Struthio camelus: one gene and its partners. The protein of the gene in region 2 interacts with the protein of the main gene of each other region in a pairwise test. Links are inferred from orthologs where the notes say so. Each region holds a gene or a part of one and is shown on either strand. Other genes may lie near its edges.

The links.
Region 1: the proteins of CDR2 (region 2) and CHIC2 interact in binary tests that used the Homo sapiens proteins (3 or more experiments, as listed by UniProt). The link is inferred for Struthio camelus from reciprocal best matches to the Homo sapiens genes CDR2 and CHIC2.
Region 3: the proteins of CDR2 (region 2) and ZGPAT interact in binary tests that used the Homo sapiens proteins (3 or more experiments, as listed by UniProt). The two-hybrid records come from large-scale screens. The link is inferred for Struthio camelus from reciprocal best matches to the Homo sapiens genes CDR2 and ZGPAT.
Region 4: the proteins of CDR2 (region 2) and C4H4orf46 interact in binary tests that used the Homo sapiens proteins (3 or more experiments, as listed by UniProt). The two-hybrid records come from large-scale screens. The link is inferred for Struthio camelus from reciprocal best matches to the Homo sapiens genes CDR2 and C4orf46.

The regions. Positions count from the first base shown.
Region 1 is NC_090945.1:57,012,038-57,020,578, reverse strand, and holds the start of CHIC2 (cysteine-rich hydrophobic domain-containing protein 2), read right to left. Parts: upstream 3,423-8,541; 5' UTR 3,311-3,422; coding exon 3,192-3,310; intron 1-3,191.
Region 2 is NC_090956.1:9,339,516-9,347,199, reverse strand, and holds the start of CDR2 (cerebellar degeneration-related protein 2), read right to left. Parts: upstream 3,330-7,684; coding exon 2,867-3,329; intron 1-2,866. Other genes in the region: transmembrane protein 180-like, read left to right, coding at 6,725-6,877, 7,636-7,684.
Region 3 is NC_090959.1:17,914,605-17,922,475, forward strand, and holds the start of ZGPAT (zinc finger CCCH-type with G patch domain-containing protein), read right to left. Parts: upstream 3,186-7,871; 5' UTR 3,051-3,185; intron 2,866-3,050; 5' UTR 2,709-2,865; coding exon 2,065-2,708; intron 1,301-2,064; coding exon 1,167-1,300; intron 401-1,166; coding exon 242-400; intron 1-241. Other genes in the region: ARFRP1 (ADP-ribosylation factor-related protein 1), read left to right, coding at 4,647-4,739, 5,135-5,222, 5,699-5,781, 6,835-6,916, 7,460-7,530. UniProt on the Homo sapiens protein: Transcription repressor that specifically binds the 5'-GGAG[GA]A[GA]A-3' consensus sequence. Represses transcription by recruiting the chromatin multiprotein complex NuRD to target promoters.
Region 4 is NC_090945.1:41,087,987-41,096,238, reverse strand, and holds C4H4orf46 (renal cancer differentiation gene 1 protein), read left to right. Parts: upstream 1-4,801; 5' UTR 4,802-4,864; coding exon 4,865-5,026; intron 5,027-5,254; coding exon 5,255-5,410; 3' UTR 5,411-7,720; downstream 7,721-8,252. Other genes in the region: ETFDH (electron transfer flavoprotein-ubiquinone oxidoreductase, mitochondrial), read right to left, coding at 961-1,190, 2,007-2,153, 4,240-4,273; RXFP1 (relaxin receptor 1), read right to left, coding at 7,721-8,022.

The DNA of each region.
Region 1 (8,541 bases), on a different chromosome or scaffold from region 2:
AAAGGTTCATCTGAGTTCCTGCCCTTGTATACAGTGGAGAGAGAGAAATGATGAGAAGTGGAATCTTTGAAGTATAGAAGATTACAGTATAGAATCAGTCAACCTGCAACCTCTTCTCAGCCTGCAGCTTTGATCTTCCTAACTCATAAAACCGACACACAAACAATCCTCTTCCCCTTCGTCCTATCTAATGGGGACTAAACCATTTTCCCATTGCTCTCAACTTGGCCCTTTAGTTCTGCATGTTCACAGCCCTTAGAAAAGATATATATTCCATCAATCCTTAACACTGTCCATCCATAACTCTTCCACAGTCCTGTTTTCACTCATATGTCCTCGATTCAACATAAGCTGCAAAAATACATAAGCAGACTTAAGTTAATAATAAAGGAACTGTCTTGGGTGAACATGTATTTTGTGATTTTTTTTCCCTCCAAACAGTTACTTTACATTGCACGTAATGCACTAAGCTGATAACTGCACAGAAGGGTGTTTACTAGTACATCATGACTGCTCTGCATCACGCTGGTACCGCAAAACACTCATAAACCCAACTTTAGTACCTAACAGTCTGGTATATACAAGACACACCTCAACTGGTCAAAACCAGAAAAGCCCAGGAAAACAGCCTCTGAAAATACAACCACACAGCCTACCATAATATCCTATTAGCAATTTCAAACCCAGCACATATGTCTCTTTCCGCACAAACATGTTTTTACAAATAAGTCCAAAATACCTTGGATTTTCAATTAAGGAACGTAAATAATGTTTTACAGTTTCTCAAGTTTTAAGGTTCTTGCCATTAAAAGAGATAACCTCAAGTAACCAGCGACCACTTCAAATATTATTCCTGTGTACCAAGCTATCTAAAGTCTGCTGGTGTGAAAACTGTTTACCTGAATATTTGAAAAACTGTGTTTAAAAAAAAAAAAGAAGTTTGAACATGCCAAACAATTCTAAAACAGTGACTTTAAGAATCTAGCTCTCAGCGCAAAAAATAGCCCCACATCCTGGAAAGAGGTCTTCACATATTCTATTTGGATAGTATTTACCTGCATTCCCTTGACTGCTTTTAACTACTAGGCTTAGAAAGGACTCTCACACACTTCCACTGTCTGTTGGATGCAATCAAGTAACAGTAAACGCTTTTTCTGCAGTTGAGGAAATGACACATTTCAAACTCAACATTATGACTTCTGTGCAAGATCAGAGAGGATATGACAATAGATTATGAAGAAGCAGCTTATGTTTAAATATATATGCAGCAGAGGCAGTCAGCAGCTCTTTAAACCGCAGAGTCAGGGAGAGATCTGGTATTGTTACTGGATTTGATATTTGCTTTACTTTACCACTGATAATTTTTTAAGACCTTAAAAAATGCATACATGTTTTTACACCAAGCAAGACAAATTAATTCTATATATAGGATTTGACCTATTCCTTAAATTCATCTAGTGAGTGTTCTGAAAGTGATCTAAATTTAATAAGCCACTTAACCAATGACGAAAAAATCAGAAGCTTCGCAAAGGTAAAAGTGGCTGGCACAATAGAGTAGATGAAGATCAAATACACAATCTTGGAAGCACATGTTCATATTTCATTGCTTGTCCAAAAGCTAAAGAACTAATATTTTGAGGAAGATCTTAAAAGTAACAACCAAATGAACATTACTGAATAATTAATGAAGCAACTACAAGCTCCTTACTAGGCATGGATAGGCTACGCAAGCTTCCTTGTGCTTCCACTAATGGGCCTTGATCTTGCCTCGCATGGGTTACCTCTAAGGACTGGAGAAGAAATTAGTGTTTGCCTCCATTTCAGTTCTTTACACTTATTTGATTGCCAACAAGACAACTATCTAACTACGTTTTTGATCCGCTCAGCAGAAACTGAGTAAGGCTACAGGTTTACTTTCAAAGAAGTCAAACAGCTACTGGATGGTAGCAACGTCTGATCTCCATAAACTACAGTACAAAATCATTATGTTTGACAGTTCAGCTACCTGCTTCTGTTACTTTATGCAGGTTCCTCTCCATTCAACATCCTTCCAACCCTCCAAACCTCTCTCAGCATCATACCATGTCTTATTCCCTATTCTTAACCAGATAAACTGTACTGCCTGGTAGCTGGTATTTCATAATGCCAACCAAATATTAAATTAGCAAGGTTAGAAAGTTCCTAGTCTAAATTTAACTTCAGATTTCTGAACAGATCTGTATCCCACAACCAGTATAGTTCATGTGAATCCGGAGGACAGAATAGGATACCTTCAACTTCTATGTGTTTGTCTGTTTGTCACAAGTTGAATCCTGCTCTACAGTGAATATAAAAAAGGAAGCTTGCATGAGTGCTTTGTGTCACCAGGCTGATATTCTAGCCTCTGAAACTGTTCATCATAACTGACAACTGCTACACTTAAGTACAGAGATCCCAACAGAACTGACTGCAGGAAAAATACCCTGACTTATTAAGTTCTCAAGAAAGACTACATTAACTCACTTGTCCCTTGCTGCTACCTCCTTGGAAACACCAAATGTTCACTAACCAAAACTCAAGGCAACTCCCATGTTAAACTTACTGACACAACGTTTATCTTAACATCGTTTTAGATGTACCTATTCAACTCGCACACTCCTTTTTATTGTAAAAAGTCTTCAGAGTTGTATTAGTTGCCACATGTTAAATGGGCCTGAGTAACTGAGATATAAACAACCCTAAGCGACAGCACAGGCCGGTCATGTACAGACACATACCATTTATATATATTATATATATATATTCACATGTATAAACACACACACACGATGTACTCTACTTCCTGACAGCTCATCATTTCGAGCAAATACTTTACATTCCTCTGTTAGTCACAGCCCAAGCCAGCGTTGTTTCCTCATCACCTCGCTGGAGGTTTGCGCTCCAGAGCGAGCCCCGGGCGGCACCGAGGAGAGCCCGCCCGCAGCCCCACGGCGCGGGGCAACGCGGGCACCGGGGCAGAAGGGCCGAGGGGGGCGCAGGGCCGGCCCGACCCCCAACACCCCTCCCCGACTTGCCCCAACTTTTCGGCGTCAGCTCGGCGCTCCGGCTGCCCCGGTCGCCGCCCGCGGCCCAGCTCGCCACCCGCCCCCGCTCCTTCCCCGGCCTCCTCCGCCGCCCGGCCCCGGCCGCGCAGGCCCCGGCGCGGCCCTTACACGGTGACATGGCCGGAGCCGCGCACCACCACCGGGTCGGGCGAGTACTTCAGGAGTTGCTCCTCCAGCGCCCGCTCCTCGTCCTCCTCCTCCTCGTAGATCTCGTCGAAGTCCGCCATGGCCGGGCCCGGGCGCCCGCGGAGAGGCAGAGGGGCCGGGGCAGCGCGGCGCGGCGTGACGGAGCCGGCCGCCGAGGCCGGAAGGAGGGGGCCGGCGGGGACGCGCCGGGGCCGGGGGCGAGCGGCGGAGCGGGAGCCGCGGCAGGGCGAGCGGCGGCGGCGGGCGAGGAAGCGCCCGTCACCCTCCGCGGGGGGAGGGGAGGGGAGGGCAGGGGAGGGCGGGGCAGGAACAACAACAACAACATCCGGCCGCCGCCGCCGCCCGCCCCCGCCACGCCCCCCGGCCGCGCGGGGCAGCGCGCGGGCAGCGCGCCTGCGCGGCGCGGGCGCTTGAGCGGACCGTTGGCGCTTGGGGGACCGTTGGCGGTTGGGCTGTGGGGTGGGCGCTGTCCTCGCTGTCTCCGGCTCTGGTGGCCGCGTAGACATGCCTCTTGGGCGAGGGGGGATTGTTTTCGCCGGGTATATTCTTTCCCCTCCTTTGTAGCTCTTCTGGGGCGTCCGTGAAAAGAAATTGGAGGGAGTTGGGCCTGCTTTTAACTGAGGGGGTTGCACAGTGGCGCTGAGAGGCCTCTGTGGTGTCCTGCTAAGCTTGCAGGGATGTGAGGGAAGTGGTCCTCAAAGGCTGGTTGAGCTGAGTGAGGGCTGGTGCCAAACGTTTGTGTGTTCCTGGGTGCTGTCAGTGTCCGGCTCGGCCAGCCCACCTGCAGCCTCTCCTGATTTCCAGGGAAAACGCCCCACTGAGACCTTTATTTGCACAGGGAGCAAAACAGACAAACAGTGTAATTCCAAAGGAACAGTCATTCCCCTTTTAGGGCTATAAATGTAAAAGCAAATCAAAAAACCCTAAAAAAGAACCAGACTCTTGTTTTCTCTCTGTAGTTCCGGTATTTGTCATAACTGAAAGCTAACGCAAAGGCTGGAAAACAGGAGTGAGAGCTTAACCACCTTAGCAACAGGCGGTTGGCTGTTGTGACAACCGAGGAAGGCAGTGCTGATGTGGGATTTAGCAGCAGCAGGACACCATTTAAAAAAGGGAGAATAGTCTTTTTATTTGAGTGAACCGGTGGATCATGTAATTGCCGAAGTATTTAGATGTTTTGTATTGATATTGCAATTATGGGGGTATGGAAAACTTTCCAGGAATCTGTTTGGAGCTGGACCTGCTTTGCATGAGTGTTTAGTTGCTTGCATGAATAAACTTTTTCAGGTCTGCCTGATGGCACTCTGAAGAGAATTCTACTTCCCTTTTCTTAGTATTTTACTGTGTATGTCTTTATTCTAATAGCTTCTTTCTCGTATTATTCACTACTAGATCTTTTTTTTCCTCTGTAACCTTTAGTTCTTTTTTCATATATTGTTAGAGTATATACACTCGTCAGCTTAATCTCTGAAAGGCTATGTTGCCTTTTAATCTCTATCACTCATACAGAAGTTAGTTGTGTATTTCTCAGGAATAAAGTCTATACAAATATGTAATGGAGTCAAGGCCCGGTTCTTACTGCTTTATGTAAAACCAGGGTAGAAACAGTATTGTTGTGAGATAGTCTACTATCTTTGTATACTATCTATTCTACAATCTTCTATCTTTGCCGTAAAGGAAAAAAAAGCAGCATCTTTTACTGTCACTCTGGAAAACTAAGTATTTCTGTGTCATGACCTACTTCTAACAGCCTTCATCTCCTAAATAATGAAATTCTACAGAATAACCCTGAATTCCCCTGAGTAATAGTTTGCTTTCATAATAGTATGCTTACATATTTTTTGCCTAATTACTGTTCTCGCATGTGTGTCTCACATAGAAATTTGAGTTTGTGGGACTGATGACTCATTGCTTCTGCCTAACCATCCTGAAATTGAGAAAATGGACCAAATTTAATACTGACAAACCCACTGATTTCAGTGAAGCTTTGCCTCCTTGTGCTAACTTGCTCTACATACAAATTTGGTAACTTGTTTAATTTAAAATGACAGATTCACATTAGCAGCAAGATAATCAGAGCTATTGGACCAGCACTTGCTTTGGTTGGTTTGAGTCCTGCCTAAGGCTGCTCTTTGGGAATGGTTTATGTTTTCTGTTTTCCATTTGTGTGTACAAACTCGAGAGAAGTATAATTGCTAAAGGATGGCCAAAGAAGAAATAGCAAAATTTTGACTGAAGCTGTGAACTATGGCATGATATTTAAACTCTGTGATATCCAGGACGGTCCCTGTAATTACTTGATGACTAGACAATTAGGACTTCTGTCTTGACTAGGTGCTGCTGTAACACATACCGTAGTGAAAATGAACTTGGTATAATTCAAGTAAACTATATCTGAGTCCTCTGTTGCTGTTCCTCTGGGATAGTTTTGCTCAGAGGTCGTTGATACCAGTTTCTCTTAATGTTGGCCTATACAGAAAGAAACATGAGGTGAAACCACTGTTACTTCATAAAGTATAAACAAAGGTTGTGATACATCCCTGTGTTTTTTATATTACAAAATAGAGACATCTTGTCTACCCAAAAAGACGGAATTGTAGAAAGTGAGTGGCGTCATGATGGTAGGGACAGAAAAAGATTGCAGCAAAGGATCCCTGTAGATGAATATAATATCTTTTGAGCAAAAAGTTGCCATTAAAGCTAGTCTTACGGAGAAAAGCTAATTGCTACTTGTCTTTCATTAAAATGGATTACATCTGGTATACTTCATGCATTTCTGCTTATCCCTGGGAAGTATTTTCTTTTCTTGAGGCCTACTATCCAAAAGATAAGTACAGCCATGACACAAGTTCCACTGTCATTCTTGATTATTTTATTACATGATGGTGGGGCTGGTTGCTGAAGCCTCTTGAAACTTTTGGATATACAACTGTGCTTCATTCAGGATAACTGTAAAAACAATCAAGTTCGTTTAGTAGCTTGATAAATGTGAGCAGTGTGGATGAAGGTGCTTACGTGGGAAAAGTTGTCAGCACATTTTTTGAGCATATGTGATAGACAAGAAGCAGCAGCACTGCAGAAGCATACTGAGAAGTGTGTGAGACACTTCCACTTCCCACAGAAGCACTTTTGGGACCCCTAGGAAAAAAGTGAGAGATGGTTTTGGGTAGAAACCTAGCTAGAAAAGGGCTTGTGATTATGAGCAAAGAAACTACCTCCTGCTACTTAATTTCTTCTGTGTTCACCAAGACAGATTTTTATGTGCATTCTGTATAAATAAATAGTCATGCATCAAAGAAGTACGTGGTTCAAATTTCAGTTTTTCTTCCAAGAAAAATGGCAATTTTCAAGACTCCATAGACTGGTTACTTGTTCTTAGACAAAAGGGCAACTTTTCTTATAAACACACTGCAACCTAATCTTGTCATGTGCAATGGTCCTTATAGCCTTGTGTTTTTTAAACCAAAGGATTAAAAAACCTGCTCTTTCTGGATCCCCTTGCAGTAAAAGCAGTTTCAGATATATGCTATTACTCTTGCTGTGCTTGGTTATTTCAGGAAATAAAAAAAATATGTGGTAAGAAATATTAGAAGCAAATCTATACACGGAAATTGCTTTCCCAGCTACACTTCCCTAAGATCTGTATATTTTACTTCCTCACTTTTTCTCATTGTCTCACCCGTCTTTCTTTAAACAATGGCCTAGCATTATTTATTTACTAATTTAGATTGTAAGTACATCAAGGTAGGGTCTCTGCCCTTCCTTATATATGCCTTAGCAGTGGTCTGTATTCCAGAGAACAGCCACTGAGGAAGGGTCAAAGATTTCTTCTGCATACTTTGGAAGATGCAGAGAGGCAAGTGGACTGTAAATGCACATGCAGGTAAATTAGGTGCATACTAAATTATTCCAAGGCCTGTTATGTAAAATGAATACTTCAGATTTTCAGAACAATTCAGCTTCATTAGTAGCCGCCAAAGTTTTATTACTATTCTTGTAATAAATGTTTCCTGTCTTTCTCTTTCCACTCCTATCTCATACATTAGTGAAAGGAAGTTGTTGGGAGAGCAAGATGTCAGTCTTTCTTTCTTGACATTGTCATGTGATTTCTCAGGCTAGAACTACATAGTGCTGTGCAGCACTGTGTTGACCTTGGCAATAACTCTGAAGGGGTGGGTTTATCTGGAGAGCATAATCTGAGTCCTTGAAGTGATGCACAGGCTCAGCTATCTTGTTTGAGGTCTGAGATACCAGCGTTGCACAGCATAACAAGCTTGGTTAAGATGCGTTTGAGCTAAGACGAGGTAAAAGACAGTCCCAGGACCCTTGGTTAATTCATTGCCTAAGGCGTACATTACTTGCCTAACAAATAGCTGTTCAATAGTTTGCTATTTCCAGCTGTTGTGTATTTGATAAATTTTGACAGATGAAGAGCTAAGACATTGAAGTGCTAAGTTTGAGATGCCCAGGATGTTTCAACATACTTTGTGTTCTGTAGCACTCAATATGCTCAAAGCACTGTGACTGACTTTGATTGCAGTTGCGAGTGCGTGGTACTTTTTCGTGTCAGACCTCTGGGACAACCACTAAAAGGTAGCAACCACCTATGAAAAATTCAGTTTGAGCAACGTTTTCATCATCTCACATGGGCACACTTAGCAGCCCGTTATTCTGGCAGAAATTAACTGCTTTGACCATGAGATCCCTCTTTCTTTTCCCAAAATCTGTGTCTCATTTGCCAAACACCTTCAATACTGGTCTTACCAGTATTGGATCACCCTTAGCAGTACAAAATAAACTACCAATTTTGTACAGCTGGTATCCCACCTCACACTGCAGAAGATGAGGATAATCTTACCATTGGTGTCTCTCATCTGTCTCTTGAGTGTCATGCAAGTAGTCACTTGCCTCCACTGCTGACATCTCATTGGCATGCAGTGTACTCCCCACCAGCCACTCACTCCTGAGTGACATTTGCCTTGAGCCACCCCAAAAACAAATTGTATGTGGCTTTCACATCACAGCATTCACTTGTGACTTTTTGATATATACCCCAAATGCTGAGACCCCTCTCCTATTTACAATGCATTGTCCTTTTCTCTGGGAATAACATAAGCAACGCCAGTCTTGTCGTGACTGTATACTCTGTTGACAGCTAAATAAGAGTCCAGCTTGAAGGGTGCTTTGCTGTTGTTGCAGATAGGAACCTCCTTCCCAAACCATTTGTCTTCTGTGCCTAGCTGTTCACTAGGAGAGAACTGGTGCCGTGCACAACTGACTAAGGTACTGGCTGTCCTAATAGTTACACTGT
Region 2 (7,684 bases):
CAGGAGCATGCAGTAAAACTCGAACTCCTGTCCTTAGAGGAAGCAAGGACTGAAACAATCTGACCTGTTCTAAAATGAAGAATTTGCTTTGTATTCATTTTTCTACATTAAGTACCTATATACCCCAGTGAAGTCAGTGCAAACTGAAAGTGTCCAGTAGTTTTTTTTTTTTTTTTAAACTCTCAGGCTATTAATGTATGAATTAGTGATTTGCTTCTTCTGATCTTAAATAAACCACAGAATTGTTGTGTGCCTACGTTTAGTCTTTGAGTTCACGTAGAGTGAAATTTGGCCATTTAAAGCATAGCACAACTAGGCATTGCCAAGGAGAGTGCACAAGATGCATTTTTTCTTTTGAAACTGCAAATTTTAAAAGTCAGGCATAGAATATATCATCTGTTCTCCAGATACAGAAGGAAAAAGTTAACTTACACCTCTCTAAGAGTTGCTGTACCATATTAGAAGCACACTGCATTTTCTGTTGCAAACTTCAGTAAACTAACAGCTATGTGTTGAAGTCGCATAACAGACACCCAGGTGCCTTTGTTCTTCACCATGAAGATACAGTTTGCATTCTTAAAAGCCTCTGTGCTGCACGTAGGTGCAAATTTTAAGAGCTTGATTTTAGTAAATCAGTCCTACTCCTCGTAGTCAACTGTTCCATCTGAAATCCCCAAATCAAAACAAGATTTGGATGATATGCCCATGGTGTTAAACAGCCATCATTCATCAACGCTCCTCCACATTCTCTACCGACAGCGTTACTATAATTGGGAAAGAAAGATTAAAACAGTACCAAGATGCTTCTCTTCCACTTTTTCATGACTCCCCTAACAAAATGATTCGGAGAACTCTCAATGCAAAGTAATCCTATTCTTTCCAATAGCAGAAGGCATTGGTAGTGTAAGATACATAAGTCAGTCTGTTGAAGTTCACTTAAGTGTAGAAGTAAGCCCTTATTTTACTGAGCTATTCCTCACTCTGTGTTCAGATAACCCACTGTTTTGTTGATATTAAAGTGAAAAACAGCAAGATGTAAACGAGCAGCCATAAGAGAATTCTTTCTCAAAGGTCAGCATACCGCAGCAAAATATGACCTTACAGGAGGAGGGATGGCTGTTCCCATCCTTAGAGAACGCCAGGAGTATTCCATTTTCAGGAACAAAATGCCAGAAAAGCCCATTGTCAAGGGAAAAGCTTCCAGCATATACAAAGACTGTCAAAAGTTCGGCCAAAACCCTCCCCGAATTTTAGATTTCAAAGACGGACAGGGACTACAGGCTTGTTTGGAGGTGGCTTTTATATGCTTAACACTGTAGATTTCCTCACAAACATACTCTTCAGTTTTTAAATGTGCACTGATTAAGTTGTGAAAAGCGTAGAGACACCTTGATAAGCATTCTTGCTACTCTGTGCAGAGACGTCAGTACTGCGTACTTTCAGCACGATGAAGAGCATCTTTCAAACTCCAGGAGCGTAGCATAAAGAACACTTCAAAGACATTCCCTTAAGTCGTCATCTTTGCGTTTTAACTTGCCCTTCAGTTCGTTTTTCTCCTTTCCCTTTTGGCAAGGCTATTAGTCACTTCCGTCTAGGCTTGTAAGGAGATAATCCTCAGAAAAAGACTGAATGTTGATAGAAAATTAATTAACTAACCCTCAAAAGGGACGAACTTCTAGAATGGAATACTGCCTCTTACAAGCGCAAATGGTGATTATTTCACTCACTTTATTATTAAAATGAATTAAAGGAGCGTAAATAAGGCAAGTAGTCACTATGCATTACACTGAAGTCTGTTCGTAGGTCTTCTTTCTACTCAATAAATAACTGACATAGTAAACATCGCTAAATCACACCTTCAGATTTTCAGCTCTTCCCTTCAGCAGCAAACTATTGTTGCAGAATCTTATTTAAATCAATTGGTGTATAAACCATAGCCAGGGAAACATCAGTTTTGAGCAAAGAGCACCTAAACAGAGCTTCCAAAGTTAGCTACGTTACAGTCAAAACATACAATTAGAGACCTATTCCCGTCTCGGGAAGTTTCCGCTGTTGTTTGATCTCAGTGTGAGAACTGCTCAACCGGAGCGAGCTTTAAAAAGTATCTTTCTTTATGGTTGAGAGTACAATAGCGCCCACCAACCCCAAGAATCAGCCTGAACTTCAGCGCAAGAGCCAAAAGCGTAGGTCTGGAGCAGGTCTGAAGGAAGCCACGCCAGGGCTCCGAGCTGGCCACTCCAACTTACCTCAGGATTTAAAAAAAATAATAATAATACAGAGGAAAAAAGAGGTAGAACTAAGTAAATACCAGTTCTAAAGAGGGCTAAGCCCAGCTGCGGGTCTGGCACCCGGCGTCCGTGGCAGACTCGCAGCCCGAGCGGACCTGCCGCCTGCCTGCGACCTTCCTCCCGCCGCGGCGGAGCGGCACGCCGCCCGGGCGCTCGGACGCGAAATGGCGCTTTTCTTAGGATTTCCCACCACCCCCCCCCCCACCCCGTCCTCAAGAGGATTTTTGGTAGGAGACGGGCAAGTAAGCGAGGGCAGCGGCGGTCAGCAGGTGCCGCGGCGCGCCCCTCGGCCCGGCCCGGTGCAGCCCCGCCGGCCGCGCCCGCCGCCGAGGGAGGACGGGCGGGCGGGAAGGGGGCGGCCGCGCTCCCGCCCCGTCGAACAAAGACGGCCGCGGGCTTCACCGCTGCCGGGGCGCCGGGGGACGCCGCGCTCCCGCCGGCCGCGAGGCGGCTCGAGCTCCGCTCCCGCCGCCGCCCCTCGCCGGCGCCTTCGGCCCCTCACGCCCTTCCCGCCGCGCCCGCCCCTCGCCGGGGTCGGCGCCCGCCGCCGCCCTGCGCCTCGCCGCCGCCCGCCTCACCTTGCTGCAGGTCCTGCTGGTCGTACCAGGGCTCATCCTCGCGGATCTCGAACTCCTCCACCAGGCTGTCGGCCAGCATCGCGCCCCTTCCCCTGCCGGCGCCGCCGGAGGACGGCGATGGGGACGAGGCGGGGCAGGGCGGGGCGGCGGCGCTGGCGCTAACGAGCCCCCTCGCGCCCAGCGACAGCGGAGCGAGGCAGAGCGAGCCGGCAGCCGCGCCGCGCCGCTCCTTAAAAGCCGCCTCCGGCCATTGCCGAGCGTTTCCGGACTTTGCCGAACCGCTCCCCCTTCTGGCCGGGCTGCGCGGAGCCGCCGGCAGCAACGTGGCAGCTACGCCCGGCCGGCCGGCCGGCCGGCCGCCCACCGCCTCCCCGCGATTCAAACGGAACGGCCTGACCTCCCCCGCGGGCAGCCAATGGGGAGCCGCTCGCCGGGCGGATCGAAAGGAGCGTGGGCCAATCATCAGGCGAATACGGATCGAACCGCCAGTGAGAATGGGGAGGAGGTGGGCCTAAGTTGATGATGCCCCGCCCCGGGAGCGGGCTACGCAGCCTCCCGTCGGAGGAGGTCGGTTAGACCCTGTGGAAGGGGCGGCGGCGGCGCCGCCGCCGCGGAGGGGGTTAACGGCGGGGGGAGCGCTCTGTGGCGTTCTCCGGGGTGGGGTCCCGGGAGGAGCGGGGCTGGCACGGCCGGGGGTGGGTCAGGCGGGGCGGGGCCGGGCGTAGGGGAGGTGCCGGTCGCCCCGCACGGGGGTCCCCGGGGCGCGCCGTGGGAAGCGCCCGCGATGCCCTTCTCCCCCCCCCCCCCAGTTGCAGCGGGTGTCCCGCCGGCAAACGGCCCTCCGCCCCGCGCCTCCTGCCCTTGCAAGGGGGAGGGAGCCGCCCAGCGGAAAGCCGCCCAGCGGAAAGTCCCGGTTTTCACAGAGAAACAGCCCCGGTTCCAGCCCGGCAGGTTTCCGAGCGCGGCGGCCAGGTGCAGCCCCGCGGCCTGTGAGGGCGGCGGCGCCCCTGCGGCTGCCGCAGCCTTCGGCTGGGGACGAGGAAAGCCCTGACTCTCCTTAGCTCTGCTTCAGCGCGGCTCGAGTCACGGAGGAGAGAGGAGGGAGGCGTTTGTGAGCAGCCCGTTGGCCGGGGCTGCGGGAGGGCGTCGCGGCGGGGCAGGGCGGCGGAGGCCCGCGGCCCTGCCCGCTCCCTCCTCCTGGCGCCGGGCGCTGGGTTTCTGTGAGAGATTCCCGAAATTGGTTCGCCCTCTCTGAGTCACAGAATGTCAGCGCTTTGCTCTTCAGCGTGTTCAACATAAAGGCTGGCTCTTGGGAAGAGGGAGGGGATGGTCGTGCGTGATCCCCCGGCTGTACAATTAAAAAGAGCACGTCTGTTGGGAGAGGAAGTGTGGCACCTCAACTTCTAATTGAGCCTGTTTCATAAACAAAGTACAGGACCAGATGTGCCAATTAGTGTAAATCGTTGTGTCAGGTCCTGTGCGTTGCAGTTAGTCATGGCACTCGAGGCCTGTTTGTCCCTTGTGAGAAGGATTTTGTGAAAGAAATACTACTTCACAATTTTCTGAAGCTGAGGAGACCTTTTTTTTATCTGTGTGTAGGAAGGAACTGAGTCAAATGTGATTGGAAGAAGGAAAAATTTGAAGTACTAGTTTGCAGGTAAAGCTAGCGCGAAGCACGTTTCTTCTTGGTGCTCGTGGAATTTGAGGGAGGCGAGGGGCCCACAATTCCTGTTGGGAAACCCGTGCTGTCTTGCACAAGGAAATACGTGCGAAATGCCTACTTTTCCAAGTGCCCTAGTATCTGCTACACCAATCTGCTACTTAAATACTACATTAAGTGTAGTTGTGAAGGCTTGAATACGCCCTTCATTTTAAAATGCGGCGCTTGTCAGTAGCACGCTTCTATAATGACGCTCACAATTTATAGTATTATACTTCTAAAATAAACATTTTAAATGGGGATCGTTTCAATAACCTTATTTTCCATTTTAGGTTTCTCGGTAATAGTTTATGAAACAGAACTTGTTACAAAAATGCAAAATTTCATCCCTTGGACATGGAAATACTGCTATAGCCATAGCTCCATGAAAAATAACTTTGAAAACATATATCACTGTCATTCTCAAGTATATACAAATTCAGTCATGTGCTTAAAAAAAAAAAAAAAGAAAAGGTTGGCCTTAGAGGGAAAAAAAAAAACTTTGATCAAGTTGTTTTTCAGCTTGATTTTTTTTCCTTACTTGTAAAGAGGAGTTATTTCCTCTTTGCTTATTGTTTCATAGTTGAGCATCTTAAATAGAGGTACAAAAATACACCCTCGTTTTACCGCTCTTAAAATACCTCACTTTCTGTGTTGGAGGGAATGGAAGAACTGCTGTTCCATATTCTGCCTTAGCCAGAATAGACAATTTTCCAGTCCCCTGCTTTGTCTGTTGCCTGGCCCTCACCTGGTGATGAAGAATTTACTGTTTTCCTCACAGCAGCCTGTCTTCAGCCACTTGGTGAACCACAGGCAGCAGGAAGGTTCGAAACAGCCGTGCTTTTCATTTCCTGTTTCTTTCATGATCATTTTATGAGGAGTTCAAGGAATTGCTAATAGATTTGTTTATCAAGCTGAACAATCAAATATTCAAACCGTGTATTTTGATGAATATTTGAAAAATAGCTTTTAGGATAAAATTGTTAGTATAGCGCACAAGAGTGAAGTGTGGACCATTGATGGGACACGGGCTGCAAAGTTCGGAGTTAGTGTCCTTAATTAAGGTTGAGATTTGAACCTGAAGTAATAGCCGAATTTATGGCAGACAGTTTCTTTTGAACAAATATACAGATGAATAAAGGCTCAGTTAAGGACAGAGTATCTAAGAGAAGTATTGGCGTGTTGGGATTAGAGAATCAAATCTGGTCAAGGACCATAAAGGTACTCATTGCTCTGCTTTAAAAGGTAGAGGTTCTCCAGAACCTCTAGCTATTTTCATTGGAGGGTTTATACTAAACATACTTCAGCTAAATGCTAGATATGTGGAAAAAGCCAACATGTTACAAAATTGTTGGCTGAAGATCTGTTTGCTATATTAAGGAACTATATATCCTTGGGCTGAATCTGTTATTTGGATATACTCCAAATCCTGTGTTACTCTATATGAGTTACTTTCTGGATTTTATTTACACAAGTTCTCTTCCAGTACGAAAATGTTTCTTAAAAGGTATTTTGATTGCTTTAAGTAAGTTTCATTAGTTTATTAGCTGAAAATATTGCTTCCATGACTTGGGCTCCTTTTTGTTAACTAGTAACATTAGAAAATAGGAAGACAAAGCTTTGAATTCATTTTAAAATAAATGTTCATCTAAGCGCATGCTGAATTTGACATTCATAACAATGGAATACACAGGAATATGAATTGAGTCACTTCATTCCTACCCAGTTCTTTGTAATTGTAGAACTACGTAGCTAGCAGGAAGGATGTAAAATGTACGCAGTTGCTTTGAACTCTACCTCAAGATTAGTGCTTGCAGTAGCAGACTTTTGTGTTGGGTCTGTGCACCAGTTGCTTTATGTGCTCTTGACATTTTGTCTACTTGTTCTTTTGTTTTTTAAGGACTGATTATATTGGGAAATGCCATGCTTAATTTTTACACCTGTTCAGTTTTGTGCTCAGTGTCTCGTACCTCAGTAAAATGTGTTGCGCGTTTAACAAAAAAGTGACTGAGGATGGGGAAATTCTCATCCAAGACACTAGTTTCGCTTCTCTGAAACAAGCAAATCTCCCATGTCTTTTTGCTTTGGAAAATGTTTCTACCAACGATTGTAATTCTTCTTTTGTAACTAGAGAAAGAAGAGACTTGCACAATTTGGAAATGAAGTTTGTTTGGGGAATTCATCCTAATGCACTGGCATATTCCATGACTACATTAGGTGCTGGAATGATGAACAGTATCTTTAATTTCTACTACGTTAAGCTTTTCCTAAACCAATACAAAATTTCAGAAGTAGCGTTTCATCAAGCACAGGTATTGTACAGCGGAATATTTTGATTTCTGTGTTGTGCTCTGTGTCTGTATTGGCATATCAAAGTTATTTTTATTAATGAATTCCTTTTGAGTTTATTGCAAATAGTTATACAAAAATTCCATGTTAAATTTAGTTAATGCATGAGCAATTGAAGGCATACTTAAAGTGCATTGTTTACAGTCTTTAAATTAAAAAATCTCTGGACTTTCATTGCTGGAAAGATTTTTACCTTTCATAACTTGAAGTAATGTTCTAAACTAATCTTGCACTTCAGCTTCATGGAGACCTTCGACTTCAGTGCTTTCCTATGGACTATTTAAGTACTTAAATACTGCCTTTTTTTCTGCAAGTTCCTACTCATGTGAGCAACTTGAGCACCTAAATGATCTCCTGAATATGATGGCCAACTCATGCTTTAAATTACTTGCTGTAAGAGCTTGTGAGATGAAAGCCCAGATACATAAGCTTTTGAGGGAGTGAGGTCTTGGAGACAGGGGTTTATCTCAACTGGAGTTGGGCACCTTCCTGCCTATTCGGTTTGTTTTTCAAAGCTACTCGTTTACTGTCAACATCTAAATACCTTTGGAAATGTGTTCCTGAGTCCATTTTGACCTGGCAAGCTTCCCTCTCTTTTTATTCTTTGAATAGAGATTTATTTTGCATAAATACAATGTTTATTACTTGTGTGTTTGCACAGCCTCTGCAGAAGAATGACACTAATGATAAATTCTGTTGTTTTTCATGCTTGTTGTCACAGGTGGTATTTATGATATGGAATGCCATTAATGATCCTCTTTTTGGGTATA
Region 3 (7,871 bases), on a different chromosome or scaffold from region 2:
CTTCATTAGCCCAAGAAAGTAATTCGCATAAAACAAAGACTGTAATTAGCAATTGTAACATAACAGATATGTAATGTTCTCTGCTATCTTCCAGCAACATATAAAAAGATTATCTACTCCTTCATCAGAAATGAGACACTTGTGATGAAAGCCGCAAGCCAAGAGAGTAACTCATTAGGTCCCAGAGAGGAGGTAGCCTAGATCACAGGCCGTTTTTGCTTAGGCCCTCCCCACTCTCTACCTTTAGCGTAGCCAGAATCATCAACACTGTCTTCATCAGATTCAACAGAGGAGGCGCCATCTTCACTTCGTAATGGAGGAATGATACCATCTCCTTCTACAACGGCTTCCTTTAGCAGCAGGGAATCAAACTTCACAGTGTAGTAGCCACTGTCGATATCTACAGAAGGAAAAGCAATGGACAGGAGTTCAAGTGTGCAATACGCAACGGGTAAGAGGGCTTTCTACAGAACAGTTACCTTCAGTGGGAGAGGAGGAAGGCCCAGGGAACATGTGTTTAAAAAAAAAAACCTCTGAATTCTTTTTTGCTTGAGATTTCGGTCTAGAAGGGAGAATTATATGCTGCAATGAAGAGCTATTTCCAGTTTCTGTGTTGATACTTAGAGGTCTATTTCTAAAAGTGATGAAAGATGGGCTGCTGAGAAATTGAATTAAAGAGAAGGCAGATTTGTTCCTTCAGACCTAGCAACAGTCAAAGAAAGCAGGAAAGCGGGAATAAACCCCTACCCTGTCCAGGACACAGAGGAGCCTGTATCAGCAACTGACAGGCAAGGCCAGCTCCCCTGGCTTTTCTTTAAACAAGAACAGATTATTGCAATTCCAGTATTCATGCAAGTTCCTGCAATACCTGTCTCTCCCCTACCAGTTCAGCTAATGACTACGAAGTTTTTTTTAACCTCACATTCCTGCTCCTGGGTTGCCTTCTTGTCTAATGTTCTCCTGTTTTCTAGCCTCTTCCCATCCCAAGCCCTACAAAACTCAGAATATTTTCCTCAGCTATTTCAAAACGTTCAGTTTAGGCATGTAAAAACCTGGTCAGCTTTTTTCTATCATCAACCAAAACAATCAACTTTTTTATTTCACTGAAGTGTCCGTGTTCATCCTCCATGCAGCAGCCTGGCAAAACACACTAAAACAAGACTCACCAGTTATTTTTGCAGTATACCATATTCCATCACTGTGTTTTGCCAGGCAGGCCGAGCCCACCTCCAGAGTGCTCAGATCGGGCTCCTGAAACGGCTGAAGCTCTTCCACAGACACCACTTGCCCGTGAGAAAACCTGCCAGGAACGGTGAAAGAAGAACTATATCCACACCACTTGAAAAGGGTTTAAATAAAAATTCCTTCCCTCACGAAAGAAAATGTGACAAGTTATCAGCACTACTGAATCTTCGCTGATAATTATCAAAGTCTTATCACACGCTATTTCGACTACACAAGACAGTCTTCAGTTTTCATCTTAAAGATATTATTTGTGCCATCTGACAACGCATTCTATCCCAGAGCATTAAGCTTTTTTTGCTAGTGATGTACCCAGTAAAAAATTTCACAGATCCTTCGATAAAGAGGATCACACAGAAACGTAGGTCTCTAGTCCACACTGGAAGTGCTTGAAGCAGGACTGGCCTCATTGACAGATCAGGTTGCTCAGGGCCTTATCTAGTTAAGTTTTGAAAATCTCCTAAGATGGAGACACCACAATTTCTCTCTGTAACCTGTATGTATGTGCTATCTACAGACTAACTTTTCTTTTTTTAACATCTTAATCAATTATTAGTTTAGCTACGCAATGGAGTAGGTAAAACATCTGCATTTTGTCATGGGAATTTCCATTTCACCTCTGCGTTACCTGAAGAAAGCAGTCAAACTGTTTGATGCCAATTTACCACGTCATATTTTAAAAACAGAAAAAATTACATATATTTGGCAAAATTCCATCTAGTACAAAAGCCAAACACAGCACTTTTAGAGCAGTCTCTTCCCTTGCATGCCAAGGCCTTTAGCAACAAGAAGGCCACAAACTCCCTCCCATCCCTTTTTTACCGACAGTTCTCTTTAAATCTGCACTTGTCATCCAAGAAGAATGGACACGGCTTCAAAGACTTGTGAGTTGGATAGAGATACAGAACTCTGACTCCTGCACTGCCATCTTCTAAGTATTCTGTGCCCACAATCATGGCATTATGGTACTCCAGGGTCCCCCAAGCACTGTAGTACGGGGCTTTAACCTTCATCCCACTCAATTCCTCCTCCTCTTCCTCTCTGTCAGACTCATCCTCCTCTTCACTGTACTTAGATTCACTTTTCTCATCAGTTTCTTCATCTCTCTTTGATGATATCTCATGATCAGCAGCTGAAGGTTTGTCCTCAGTTCCAAGCTCACCAATGGCTTCCTTAAAAGCAGCATATTCCTCATCTTGGGCAGAGCTGTCTAGGTTGGCCTCCTGCTCTAGGGGACCTGCAGGAGAGGAGGAGGATGCGTTTGTATCTAAGGTTGCAAGAAGTTTGCTTTTTTTAATAGACACCAGGCTAGATTCAGTCAGCTCTATCAGCTGCTTTAAGTCTTCCTGCAACTGAACCAAGTCCGTTTGCTGGGACGGGTCGAGGCCGGCCCCTAAGGCCAGCTCTACTTGCTGCAGCTGGGCGCTGTAGGTGTGAATGGCTGCCTCCAGACTCTCCTCGTCCATTATCAGCACAACGAAGGCGTCTCTAACCGTGTCCTTTCTGGGAACGCAGAACACATTCAAGCAGGTCACGTAAAGCGATCAGCAGGTCTTCGTCCGCAGCCGCCACCGCCTAGCCCGCCGTCCTGCTGCTTCCCCCTGAGGAGGCCCGACGAGGCGCCTGCAGCGAGGGACATTGAACGGCGCGTTACCGCCGGCCGCCGCCCTGCGGCAAGGGCGCCTGGCCCGGGTCAGCCCGGCCCGGGCGCTCAGCGCTGGCCCAGAGCCACGGCCATCAGCGCCGCCACCGCCGCCCGCCGCCCGCCGCCGGCCCCGGCCGGCCGCCCGCCCGCCCGCCTCACTCACCCCCCAGCTCTCCCCTTCCTCCCGGGGCACCGCCATGACACCCCGCCGACTTCCGGTCCTCCACGCCACCCCACTTCCGGCCCCTCTAGCCGACGCGTTACGCCGTTTCGGCTAGGAGACTTCCCCTACCGCGCCGGCGCAGGCTGTGGCCGTGAGGGCGCTAGGCATTCTGGGAGTCGCAGTCCTCCTGAGGGGTGTCGCGCCGCTCTGACCGCGGGGCGAGAACTACATTTCCCAGGGTGCCGCGCGGAAGGGGGGGGGGGGGGAAGCCGGCGGCCGGTGCCGAAGGGGAGCGCTGAGGCGCGGGGGGCCGGGAGGTGTCTCCGGTGTCCGGTGAGGGGCCGCGGGTCTCGGGCTCCGTGCTCAGCGCTCGGGGTGGGGGGGAGGAGCGGGGACCCTGCCGTGTCTGATGGCAGCTCTGCGAGGCGCTGCTAGGCCCGGCTGCGACGGGGCTCGGGCCGGGCCCCGGTGGAGGGAGGCCTGTCCTGGCCCGAGGCCGCGCCGGGCCCGTGGCGGCCGTAAGGGCCGCGGGGGCCGAGGCCGGGGCCGGTTCCGGCTCCTCTTGCGCAGCCGGAGGGGAAGGGTCCGTGCTCGCCGGCCGCGTCGGGCCTCCCGGCCTGGCCCTGGCTGCGGTCCAGCCTGGGAAACCTGCCGTGCTGAGGCTGGAAGTCTTTTTTTTTTTTTTTCTTTTTTTCTACCCCTCAGGCAACGTTATTGCATTTCAAAACGATTATTTATCTGCACGCTCGCTGCACGGCAGCGGCTTCTCAGAGTTGTTGCCTTGAGGTTCCCCCGGTCTGTTTAAACTGAAGGGTGGTTGTAATGCTAAGGGAGCCGGCTGTGGTGCTTGGTACCGAGACTTCCTGCATCTTAGCAAATCTTCTCTGCCTTGTTTGTGCAAATCCAACAAAAGAGTACGTGCATGGCCAGGGGCTGTCACTTAGTCTTATTTTCGGTCTTGTGCTTTTGGCTAGTCACCGGTCTTCTCTTCATGGTATTGCAAGATGATAAAATACTTGAATTGTGAATCGTGGAACAGAAGGCTGTTGCTGGAGAAGGCATACGTTAATATAGCTAGTCTTTTTTACAAGCCTTTAAAAGTAAGATACTCTGTCAGTTTGACCATTAAAGAGCCAATGATACAGTCGTATAGAGCGTGTTCTTGCTCCAAATACCCATTCTGTGTATTTGTATGCAATTGATTTCATTCTGTGGACCATGTATGTACTCTGAAAGACTTTCAAGAACATTCAGATCCCCTTTAAGCCTTGGAACAGACAGGAGCATTTTCAAATGAGTAGTGGGTTTGCACTGGATGATATGCACTATCAAAATTTGGCCATGTGCATAAACAGGGATAAGCTCTACATAAGATGACCCCCTACTTATATGCATTTGAAAACTTGATTTTTTTTTTTTTTCTCCCGTGGACTTGGATCTATGATTTGTCCTGGAGTTATCTAAATATGAGAGTTACTGATAAAAGAATAATGCCACTTACTTCTCTGATGTTGGAAAAACTTGCATTGTGGAATGAAAGACTTCTGGGAGTGACCCATTTATTAATAATTTCTTGGCATTTGTTGCAGGAGCAGGATGTATACTCTGTTATCTGGACTCTATAAATACATGTTCCAGAGGGATGAGTACTGCGTCTTGATCCTTGGTTTGGACAATGCTGGTAAAACAGTAAGTGCTGTTAATTACCAATTACGTGGAGGGCACGTGCAATTGTAAACATTCCTATTCTCCAAAGGCAAAACTTCCAAGAGGCAGGTCAGTCTAACTCGTGACAGGATATTTTAGGGATATTGCCCCCAAGAGTCAACTCCTCTCCCTGTATTTAAACTTAGCTATATCCCTGAAAGCTTACGCTGAGACTTTGATAATCCCGTAATCACCTGGGATCTCTTCTTTCTTTGCTGAAATAGGGAACAAGAGGAGTGGTTTGTTCCAAGGTTAGAGAGGGCAGTAGCTACTGGGACAAGATTCTGCCGTAAGGAAAAGGCAGGTTTTTGTTAAGATTACTGGATACATGCCAGTACAATGTTTGAGAGTAGTTACTCTTTCTTATTCCTTTTCAGACCTTCCTTGAACAAACTAAAACTCGATTTAACAAAAACTACAAAGGGATGAGTTTGTCCAAAATCACAACCACTGTAGGCTTAAACAGTAAGTAAATCCACCTGGAAAATTTTCCACCTTTCCTGTAAAGTTAGAGAACAGTTATTTCTTCCTTGAAATGTTTAAGAAGAATTGACAAGGGCAAAGTGGTTCCTGGAAATAGGGATCTTATCTCCTCGCTCCCTATATACTTCTTCTGAGAGAATAAATTGGCTTGCTTAGCTGTTGAAGAAAAAACCCTGAAGTTTTAAGAGTTGTGTGTCACCTTTCAGTGCTGTGCTTAGAAGTTAAACTAAGTTTCTTTGGAGTTCACGGGCTGATTCTCATCCTGTTTATGCTGATGTGACTCTTCCCAATCTTATGGCCACTATTTTCTAAGGTATTGTTCTCTTGTTATAAGTAGTACTATATGTGATTTGCTCCTGTAGAAGACTGTTCCATCCCTACTTAGGGGCATTGTGTAGGCGTGATCCTTTAGAGCACGCAGTCAGTTTTCATTGGATTGAATTTTTCTTTCCCTCTAGTTGGTACTATTGATGTTGGCAAAACTCGACTGATGTTCTGGGATCTTGGAGGGCAGGAGGAGCTACAGTCTCTTTGGGACAAGGTTGGGGAAGTAATTTTTCTTTTATAAATGTTCTGATACCTCTTTCACAATTGGAGAAATATGATCATTTAGTACTCATACAGGCTTACTGGTAACCCAGGTATTTAGCATTAATACTTTTCCAGAGATTCAATTTTATCCGTGCAAGATTTGCAAAGATGATGCTTAACATCTGCATTATTGTTTACAGAAACTAATTGTCAGCCTCTGTGGGAGGACTGTGCCAGTTTTATCGTTTGTATGTAATAAGGTCATATCAGTGGTAACTTCCTTACCCAAAGTTACAGAGGGACTTTAAAAGAGATCTTGGCTAGCTCAAATAAAAGCTACAGTCTAGTTCTAACTAAAATGAAATATGATTTCAAGTTCTCTGGGCTGTTTTGTACAGCAAATCAGGGCAAGGGAAGGAGAACATTGATGAAAGCAGGAAGGTAAGAGCTGAGATGTGTTTCTGGGCTCAGCACTTCCAAGGCTTTTACAGTACCGCACAGAAGCAAAGTATATACCAATATCAACACTTGTCTCCCTCTGTATTATCTGTTCTTGTCGAGCAGAGGGTACAGTCTGCCCAGCTGCATGGTGTTTTGTAGGTACGTTAACTGCAGCGTTATTAGAAACCCTGAGCACAGTATGCAGCATCCAGATGTCCGGCAAAGAATATTAAAGCAATATGCTCGCAGGCCAACCAAGCATGCTACCTGTGCCCTTGACTTCATTGTTTGATCAAGACATGCATTCCTGCTATCCTGTTATCAATCACTTCAACTGCACAGTTGAGTAGTATGTCTTATCAGGCTTAAAAAACATCAAATTCTGCCTGCAATCACTTGGGTTAGAAAAGGAGTACGCAGATAAACTTCTTCACCTATTTTATTCAACAGACCTGCAAATAGGACAGGCAATGCATTTTGCATGCCACCATTCTTCTCTCCAGACAAATATTATGGAAACAGCTAGCTCCAACTGGTTCTCTCTTCCATACGGATAAAAAAAAGGGTATGAGGAGGAGATAGTCTTAGCCGTTAAGTACACTAATATCTGTTACCATTCCAGTATTATGCCGAGTCTCATGGAGTGATCTATGTTATTGACTCCACTGATGAGGAGAGGCTCTCGGAATCTAAAAGAGCGTTTGGTGAGTATGCTGTGTTATCAGTACTGTGGTTTCCTGATGTATTGTGTCACAGTTCTTTCATTACAATCGTGTCTCTTCCTGTGTACTTGAAGTATAAGCTGTGTTCTGTTGATGGCATGTCTGTAGCGCTTTTGAACCTTTGCATGATACGTGGCTGCGTTTCTGAGGTGAAAGCAGTGAAATCAGTGAGCTATTTAAGAGTATGGTCTGTCTTGTCCGTAAGATAATCGTCAGTTTCATTGCCTATAAAGACCTTGAGGCTCTTTTTCTGCTTATGTTAATTCTTTCAGAACTTTCATTTCTTATTCTGTATTTAGTTAATTCTTAGTAAAGTGCTTGTTGATCAAAATAAAAGTTTGAACTTGATCTGAAAAAAGATACTGTGATGAATGCAGTCCTGAAAGTTTGGATCAAATCAAACTAGCACAAGGAAGTGCCTCTTGCTTCCTCCCTATGTTCAGATAATTTGTGTCAAGCATTTGCACAACTTGGTCTTCTAGAATTAGCTAAACCTCTCTCGTTTTTTATTTTTGTGCTTTATAGAGAAGATGGTCACTAGCGAAGCTCTGGAAGGGGTTCCTATTCTGGTGTTAGCTAACAAGCAGGATGTAGAGGTAAGATAATTGCAGAAGATGTAGTTATTCAACGAGCAAATACGCCTTTGAAAGGTGGGCTGTGTCTATTCATGTCAAATTTATTTCCAGTCCCTGGACTGGTGCCTAACAAAGTTTTTCTTCTCCTAGAAATAATTGCTGTGAATTTAGTTTTCCATTTTTCCTTTTCCTCCAGCCCTCTTCCAGTGACACAAGTGAGCTGACTATAGACATGTACATCTTGGCTGTTTTGAGCCATGTACGTAAACAGAACGAACTATTTAGCTCTGGTGGGTTTTCTTTGCTGTGACTTGGTATTTTAATCCTGTTTTTCATGTTTATTCAGCAAAACAATGTTTAGT
Region 4 (8,252 bases), on a different chromosome or scaffold from region 2:
ATTTTGAACTTCTTGACTAGAGAAGATTATGCAGGAAGAGTGAGTTACACAGCCACAAGCCTGAGCTTGCTTGGTCTCTGCAAAAAACCAGAAATTGTATGCAAAAACCTGGAGGTCTTTTGCTGGAGCTTGGCTATGCTGCAAATCATATCACACTTAACCATCATAACATACAGTAGCTGTCAGCACTCCCCAAGACAAAAAAAAACAGTAGTTAAATATGTAAAATACGTAAAATGTAAAATAGTATGTAAAATAACGATCAGGCAAGAATGACCACAGCTACTGAGGAAACAAAACTGTATAAAGTCCTCCAAGTTTGTACATATGCTTGTACTACACCAATATTCCAGAGATTTCTAAAGAAGGCAACTCAACTTGCAGGTCACGTTCAGCCCACTAAAACAACAGTCCATCTAGTCAACAGCCCACCTCCTGCAGCTCCTAGGTGATATTAAGAGGGCTGGCTGCAAGTCAGATGGGTTGTTCTCGCAGAGATGACAGCTTGCTGCCTGTTACCCTCTCTCCTACAAGCATGTTAGGCTTCCATCATATCACCATGTCTGCACATAAATCAGTGTATTGTACATCACTCTCTGAGCACATGCAGAACGACTGCCTAGAAGTAGCAAGTTTGACATTGCAAAGAAACCATTATCTTATGGCTTGTGCACGGGAGTTGGATTCTGCACAAATGCAGCAAATCTAGTGCATCCCAGGATGCACTAGACGTACTTTGTATGTGCACTACCCTATAAAGAAAAGCAAAGGCCACAGTGTATCTGTTTAGACATAAAAAATTAGCATTGATGCGCTAAAGGAAAACAGACTAAAAACAAGACAGAGCGTTTTTCTGGTAAGTCACCACATTTTAAATGGAACGAAGGTAGAAAAGAATGAGTTGGATACAGAGTTTATTACCTTAGAGATGAACTGCAATGTTTACAGGTTCATACATACCCCCCGCTCCTTCCAGTCCGGAAAAAGTTCTTCTAAGGACCGTGGCTCAAGACAAGCACCAGAAAGTGTATGTGCACCAATCTGAGCGGCTTTTTCCACCAGACAAACACGTACTTCTTTGCCATGCTCAGTGGCTAACTGTTTGAGTCGAATAGCTGCAGAAAGACCCGCAGGGCCTCCTCCGACTATGACAACATCAGCTTCCTCTGCAAATCTTTCCATGTTTACTCCTTCAATAGGACAACAGATGATAAAACAAATGGATCTCCAGTTTCTCCTGCCCTCTCTCTCACTAAATCTTGCTTTGCGATACTGCTACCAGGTAACGCAGTAACATCACCTTGCATAAAAGAAGGCCAAATATTCAACAGAATGCTCACTTCAGTACTTGGAAGAGGGTAGAAGGACATTAGTATTCATTTTGTCAATGTACAATCAACTCTTTGTAAGTTGTAAGAAGATATACCATAAAAACATATTCAATCTGTATACACTGTAGGTAAGTATCAGCAATGTTAAAAATAAGAGCCTGGTTGCCTAGCTGTATCAAAGATACTTGGTGAAACTCTAGGAAGAGAGAAAGAAAAGAAAAAAAATCTTTAGTCAGAACAAGTTATTTTATTTTACTCTAGTTAATCAGCTACTGTTATGGAATTGAAGACATTAAAATTGCTGAATATATAGACTGGAATGGCCAGAGATATATATTCCTCTTATTTTGTCACAAACTTTCATGGCGAGAGCAACTGAAAAATCCAAAAAATACAGACCTGACTGAATTCAATCTTGTTGTGATAGTCACCCAAGTAAAAAGAATTTATAAACTTTTTTGACGTAACTAGAATCCAGTCAAATCTGACCTGATTTTATAGTGCTCAACACAATCGTTGTGAGATAGCAACCGTAAAATTTCATTTGGGATATTAGTACTGTACTTAACAGAATATAATTTCTGTAAAAAGAAAAAATCGGCAACACACTTCAGTGTTGTTAAAATTGAGTAATAACAATAAAAAGATGCTTTTAAAACACATGTTTTCACTTACCTTCCCATCGTTTGTCTTTGTCCCGAGGATGAATAGTATAATGCGTAGTTATACGAGGCACAGAGGTAGTAGATGCACATGCTGCAATATGCAGTGATGGAAGGCAGTCTCTCTTTAACAACTTTAAAACATGAAAACACAGACGTGCTGCAAAAACAAAAAACAGATTCACCAAATCATTAGCTTTCCAAAGTTTTCTATATTTCAGAGACACAATGGCACAACAAATACGACAGCCCCTTAAAAGGCTGCCAGGTCAAATGAAGATGAGGAAGCGTATAAATAGATTTTTAGTTATTCAGCAACTAGGACTGTGCATGTGTAATTTTAAATTTAAAAAATAAATAAAAAATAGAGAGCTTTCCCTTTAAGTGAATAGCACTCAAGGAATAAGTACACCAGCCAACCAATTCTGACAGCTGGCATACCACAGCATGCACGTACAAAGGAAAAAGACATTCTAAGTTCCTACGTCATTTTGAACATCAAAAGATTTATTGAAGACATCATTAAAAAGGACTAAACAACTGTAGAGAGAGGACATACAAGTTCATCCCTTTTGCAATCTCAACACATGTTCAGACACACAGCTTGGGCTGCTGATTCTAAGCAGCTGATCTAAAATAAATGTCACCATCTACAGTAAAAGCCAAGACTTAAACAAATATACTTTAGCAAGGCTAGAAATAGATACAGGTAATAAAGACACGCAATCTTTACCTTTGCTACAGAAACATTAATAGTTGCCACAACAAATTATGCATTCTCTTAAGTCTCAAATAAGCAAAATAAGACAAAAGGGCATGTTACATGCTTGTTCTAATTTCCGTCTTTCACAAAAAAAAAATCATGTTTTGGAGCTGTATGTGATCTGTTCTCAGAGAGCTAGTAAGTGTAGCACCAAAACTAGTTATAGTTACAAGATTTGTCAAGTAACGCACACTAAGTGGTATTTTCCCTTCCATTATGGATTCCCTTAGTCTAATTTCAGGGCAGAGAGGGAGAATACTATATTTGAAACACAGTATTTCTGCAAAACCACATAAGCAAAACCACCAACATACTGATGTTCGCTGATGTGTTTCATTGCCAACGGTGATTAACAAGGCCACCACAAACATCCTCCATCATAATTACATAGTGATAGTCGGGGTACTGGTCTCCATATGCAAGGTAATAATAAACGGACATAGATAATACTTTTAGGTTAACAGCAATTTTGCACATAACAAACATAACATAAACATTATTACTATAAGTAACAAGTAATTCTTATCACGACTCACAAGTACCCTTCACCTGCACAGCTAGGTAAAGCTGTGTAAGCTGGACAGCTTCAAATAATGGATCTGAGAACAAGCAATGTGTTTTATACGTAGGATAATAACTACACCAATATACATTAAAACACAATACCATAACTTCATTTCTGAGCTATTTTATTTGAGCAAGACCGATAGCACTATGAGTTACACAGTACTGCTGCTTGGCAAAAATAAAAAGTGAAATTGACTTAGGAATATGTTTAATAAACACAAAGGCAGGTCCAAACTCTGCAACGGCACCTGAACAGACATACTCTTTTCACCCAACGACCTGGAACCTGGGCGACTGTGTTACTGCAGAGCTGAGAGCTTACGGACTTGGCAGTTCGCATACGTGCAGCAATGAACAGTGAGTACGAAGCGGTGCAAACAATCGCTAAGAAAAGAGCAAAAACTCGCTCCCACGAAGTTCTTTGACAACCGCCGCCAAGGCATTACTTCTACGATTATTACCTCGATAACGACGTACATCCAATTACCTTACCCTTTAAAACACGCTACACCTAGCAAAGATCGCTGCAAAACAGACAGCTCTTTACAGCGCCGCGTTACATTTTAACACCAGACACAGCACGTTAACAAAATACACCGGTAGCCCAACCCTTGCAGGTGCTTACTGCGTAGTTTCACCCTCGGAAGCACATTTAAACCAGCAGAGACCGCAGAGACCGCTCCGACGAGGAGGGAGCAGCTGCTGCGGGACAGCCGCCCCCCAGCGCCCCCGAAACCTCCCCACAGGCGATGCCGGTGGGGCGCCCCCCACCCCCGCGCAGGCGCCGCGGCCCGGAGCGGCCGGTGGCGCCGCGGCCGCGCCGACCTTTGCCCTAATTCCGCGCCAGCTGCCGCCCCCGCCCCAGGTCGCCGTGCCCCGCCGCGGCCCGCTGCCCCGCCGCGAGCCGGCACGTTACCTCGGCTGGAGGACGGGCAGACAGGCGGCAGCATGACGGCGGCAGCTCTCCACTCTCCCCTCAGCGCTCGCACCTCCTCTCCACCGCGCCCACCCCACCCCGGCTCCCCTCGGCCCCGCCGCGCCTGCGCACTCGGCTGCCTGCCGGGCGACACACGCCCCGTCCCGCCCCACCCGCGCTGCCAGGACTACAGCTCCCAGGGCTCCCCGCGCGAGGCGCCGGCGGGACATACCACGCATGCGCCTGGCCACCACGGCCCGCGGAGGAACGCTTGCCCTGGTCTGATATTTAAACGCAGGCACATGGAGATGGCGACGCGCTGGTTTACACATTTTTTGCGCCGTGTGCGCTACAAACAAGACCAAGCGCTAGCTAACAACCCAGGCGGGCACCACGGGAAGAAAGACTACCGTTCCCGGCGTGCAGCGCGGCGCCCATAATTCCAAGCGGCGCTGTGCAGCACCGCCCCGTTCCCCCGTCGCACGCCCTGCCTGGTCTCGCCGCAGTGCCTGCCGGGATACCCGCGAGCCTTTCCCCGGAGCCGTTGGGGCGGGGCGGGGCGGGGCGGGGCGAGCGTTGCAGCGCGCGGAGCCGTTGGGCGGGCCGGGCGGCAGCGGCGCGGAGCATGGCCGAGGCAGGACCGCTGCAGCCCACAGCGCTCCCGGAGGGCCCGCCCGCCGCCGGGCCCAGGAGGAGCCGCAGCTGGAGCAGGGGGGCGCGGCCGCCGGAGCAGCTCGCTGGCGACCCGCAGGAGCTGCTGGAGGAGGTGGAGATGCAGATCGGCGACGTGAGTGACGCCGCGGCGGGAAGCGCTGGGAAGGGGGCCCGGGCGGCGGTAACGGCGGCTCCGGTCCCTGCAGCCCGGCCTCCTCGCTCCTGCCCGGCTCCGGCCGAGGCCTCCCCGCTGCCGCGGCACTGGGAAAGCGGGGCGCCAGCGAGTTGTCAAGCCGGGAGCCCTTTCCGGGTGCGTCTCGGCGCGTATTGCTGACCCCCAACCTCTCGCTCTGTCCTCTAGGCTGCCTTCTCGCTGACAAAGATCCTGGAGGCGACGTCTGCTGTATCAGCCCAGGTGGAAGAGCTTGCGACCAAATGTTCTGAAAATGCCAGATTTCTTAAGACATGGCGGGACCTGCTGAAGGAGGGGTATGATTCCCTGAAACCCAGCGAGTAGCTGGGCCGTCATGGAAAAAGTGGGAACTTCTGCTGCCTGATGAGGGATGTTGAGAGGGGAGTCATCCCACAGTATTTACCTTTTGCTGACCGTGCCTTGTGACAGTAGAGCTTGATTGGCATCATACCACGTTGTCTGCTTATATTAGACTTGAATGTGTTACTGCACACTGTGCCTAGTTTTTTTTTTAAAACAACTTTTTTAGCGATTTCACATGGTGAGTTTATTTTTTCATCAACAACTCATTTTGAGCTAGAAGAGAGTTCTTTGGAAAATACTTGTATGTGTACCAAAACTATGTATAAGTTTCTGAGTAAAATAACTTTGTTCAGGGGAGTTATCAGTTGTAACTCTTGGACTCCTCCTTTGCAGCTCAGGTGATCTCATATGTGAAAGAACTTTCATTTTTTGCTAATATAATGGAGACAAAGTTAACTTGTAAGGTACATCTAGAACTCACCAGCTGTGGGGGGGAGTGGTAGCCCATGAAAATATAGTCAGCCATCCTTTTAAGAACTTTGACTGTGCTAGAAGAAGCCCTCTTAGCTCCAGGGAAACTTGTCAAACTAATTTTTCTTTGTGCATGCTTTTTCTTCAGGTTGAGGATGGGATAATATGGCTAGTGAAGTCTTATTTAAGAGCTATAGATAAGCCACCCTATCCCAAATCTTACTATTTTAGGCAGTATTGCAATATATTTCTATAAAGATGCATTTGTTTTACAAACAGTTTGATAATTGGAAACATGTTACGCCAGACTTTTTGTAATAAATACAAAGTGCCTTATGCATTGACCTTAGATATATGTTTGGTAGAAATTTAACTGTGTTGCTTACTGATAGGATGGATTATTTGGAATTATTAATACAAGCTTCCTTCAGTTAGAATAAGTGTTTGTAAACTGTATTCTCTCATCTCTGGGGCAGCAGCTTGTTCTGTTTTTGGCCTATTGTATGTCCTGCCTCAAGCAGTAACTAATTAATTAATCTAGTTTGTACTATAAACAGGACCTTTTGGTCTGAAAGATCACTAATCTGTAATAAATAGTTGCATTGAAACTTCTGTATCCCTTACCAGAGTAATGTGAAAAAATAATGCTGAAATGCAAGGGGAAGCTTCAGGAGAATGTGGCTGTACCGTGACTTGTAGCAAGCCTAATTGTCACTGGTAGGAGGATTTTTAAAAGACAAACCGTAGTTTTGTTATCAAAAGAATAAAGATGTTACACCAAATTAGGAACTAACTAATATTCTTAAGGTACTGGTAGGAAACAAAAAAATACTGAATACATCCATAATCAACTTCAAGTGAAAACAGAAGTAGTGGTAAGGACAGGTGTCCTTAACATTCCTTATAAAAAGCAGTTATTGTCATTGAGAATGCTGAGCTTCTATGATAATTAAAAGGGCAATCCACATTGCAGGAATTCACTGAGCTATTTTTTCCAGTACCCTAAACAACTTGGAAAAGAAGTCACTTTGATCAGCAGATCATCCTTTATTGAAATAAAATATACAGTAGTGGAAACAAGATGCTCAACAAATTTTGATTTCAAGATGATCCAAAATTCTGTAAACAGTTAAAGTGTGAGTCACACTAAGTTTTAATTCAGCTTCTTACATACTTAAGAAGTTAAGTGCAAATACTAGAAGTAACTTTTAACTTTCTTTTAAAGAACTTCAAGATCATCAATGCAGAAGAGGCATTTCTTTTTCTTGGGCTGCTAGGCCATTGGACTGAGTGTGGTATTAGAGGAGAACTAAGGAAGTCATAGTAATTGGTAGTGGAAAATGTTCTTTTCAGTAAATAAGTGAATAAATTGCCTCCGTTTGTGTCCTTATACCTTCTTCTATGTACAAAGATGATTGTTTTAGGTGAGGTAAAATGATTTTACCTTGTAACACTGGGGAGTACAGTACTACTCAAGTGCTCAATGATTGCATTCCCTAAATTATTTTAACCATAATGCATTCAATTTGATGCACAAGGTGATTAAAACTTAGATGGCATGACAACTATTAAGACTGATAGGCCTCTATTTGTCAGTCTCTCACTTGGTTTGAGAGGTGGAGGAGGAATAAAAAGAGACTTAACTTTTCATCCTGATCAAGGATGAGTTGTCAAAAGGTCAGGAACTGTTGCAAGACGAAAAAATTATTTTTGTATCAGTTCTCCCTGCAAGTAGACACATTGATCTACTTTCTTCCTGCTTTGACTGCTGGTTCTGGTGAGTCAGTGTGTCCCCTCCCTTGTTATTTTCCTCATTGCTATAAAGCAGTAAATCCACGTATGTGAAGGTTCATAATGTGTTTATGTGTATGAATTTAGTCTGGTTGACTGTGTAGTCACTGATGCCTCAGAGGAGTCTGTACAAAGAACAGGCTTCGATAGCTTTGGTGTGATTTCATGCATTGGCCACATCTCTATCCAAATGAATGATGGACCATATGTTTTTTGACTGCCTTTGCTTCTTTTGGATCTTCTTTGTCTGTAATTATACCAGACCTGATGAATCATTTCTTTGAAAGGTCGTGTAGTCAGAGTGTAGAGAAGAGGATTCAAAGCACTGTTTATGGGTAGTATAAAAATCACCACCCAAGAAGTTATGGTACCTTAAGGAGGGGAAGAAAAAAAAAAGGAAGCTGTAATAGGTAGTAGTGTTTGTACCCGTTAGTCAATACAAGCACTTCATGCTGATGCGATGCAGCTTCCTTTTAAAAGCCGTAGTCCAGAAGTTTGTGGGGGTCATGCTGAGGTCACATTGCAACAGTGTCATGACACAGTCACAACCCACTCCTCCTGCTGTTTCATAGGTACTGCCGTCCTCCATTCCAAGGACTCC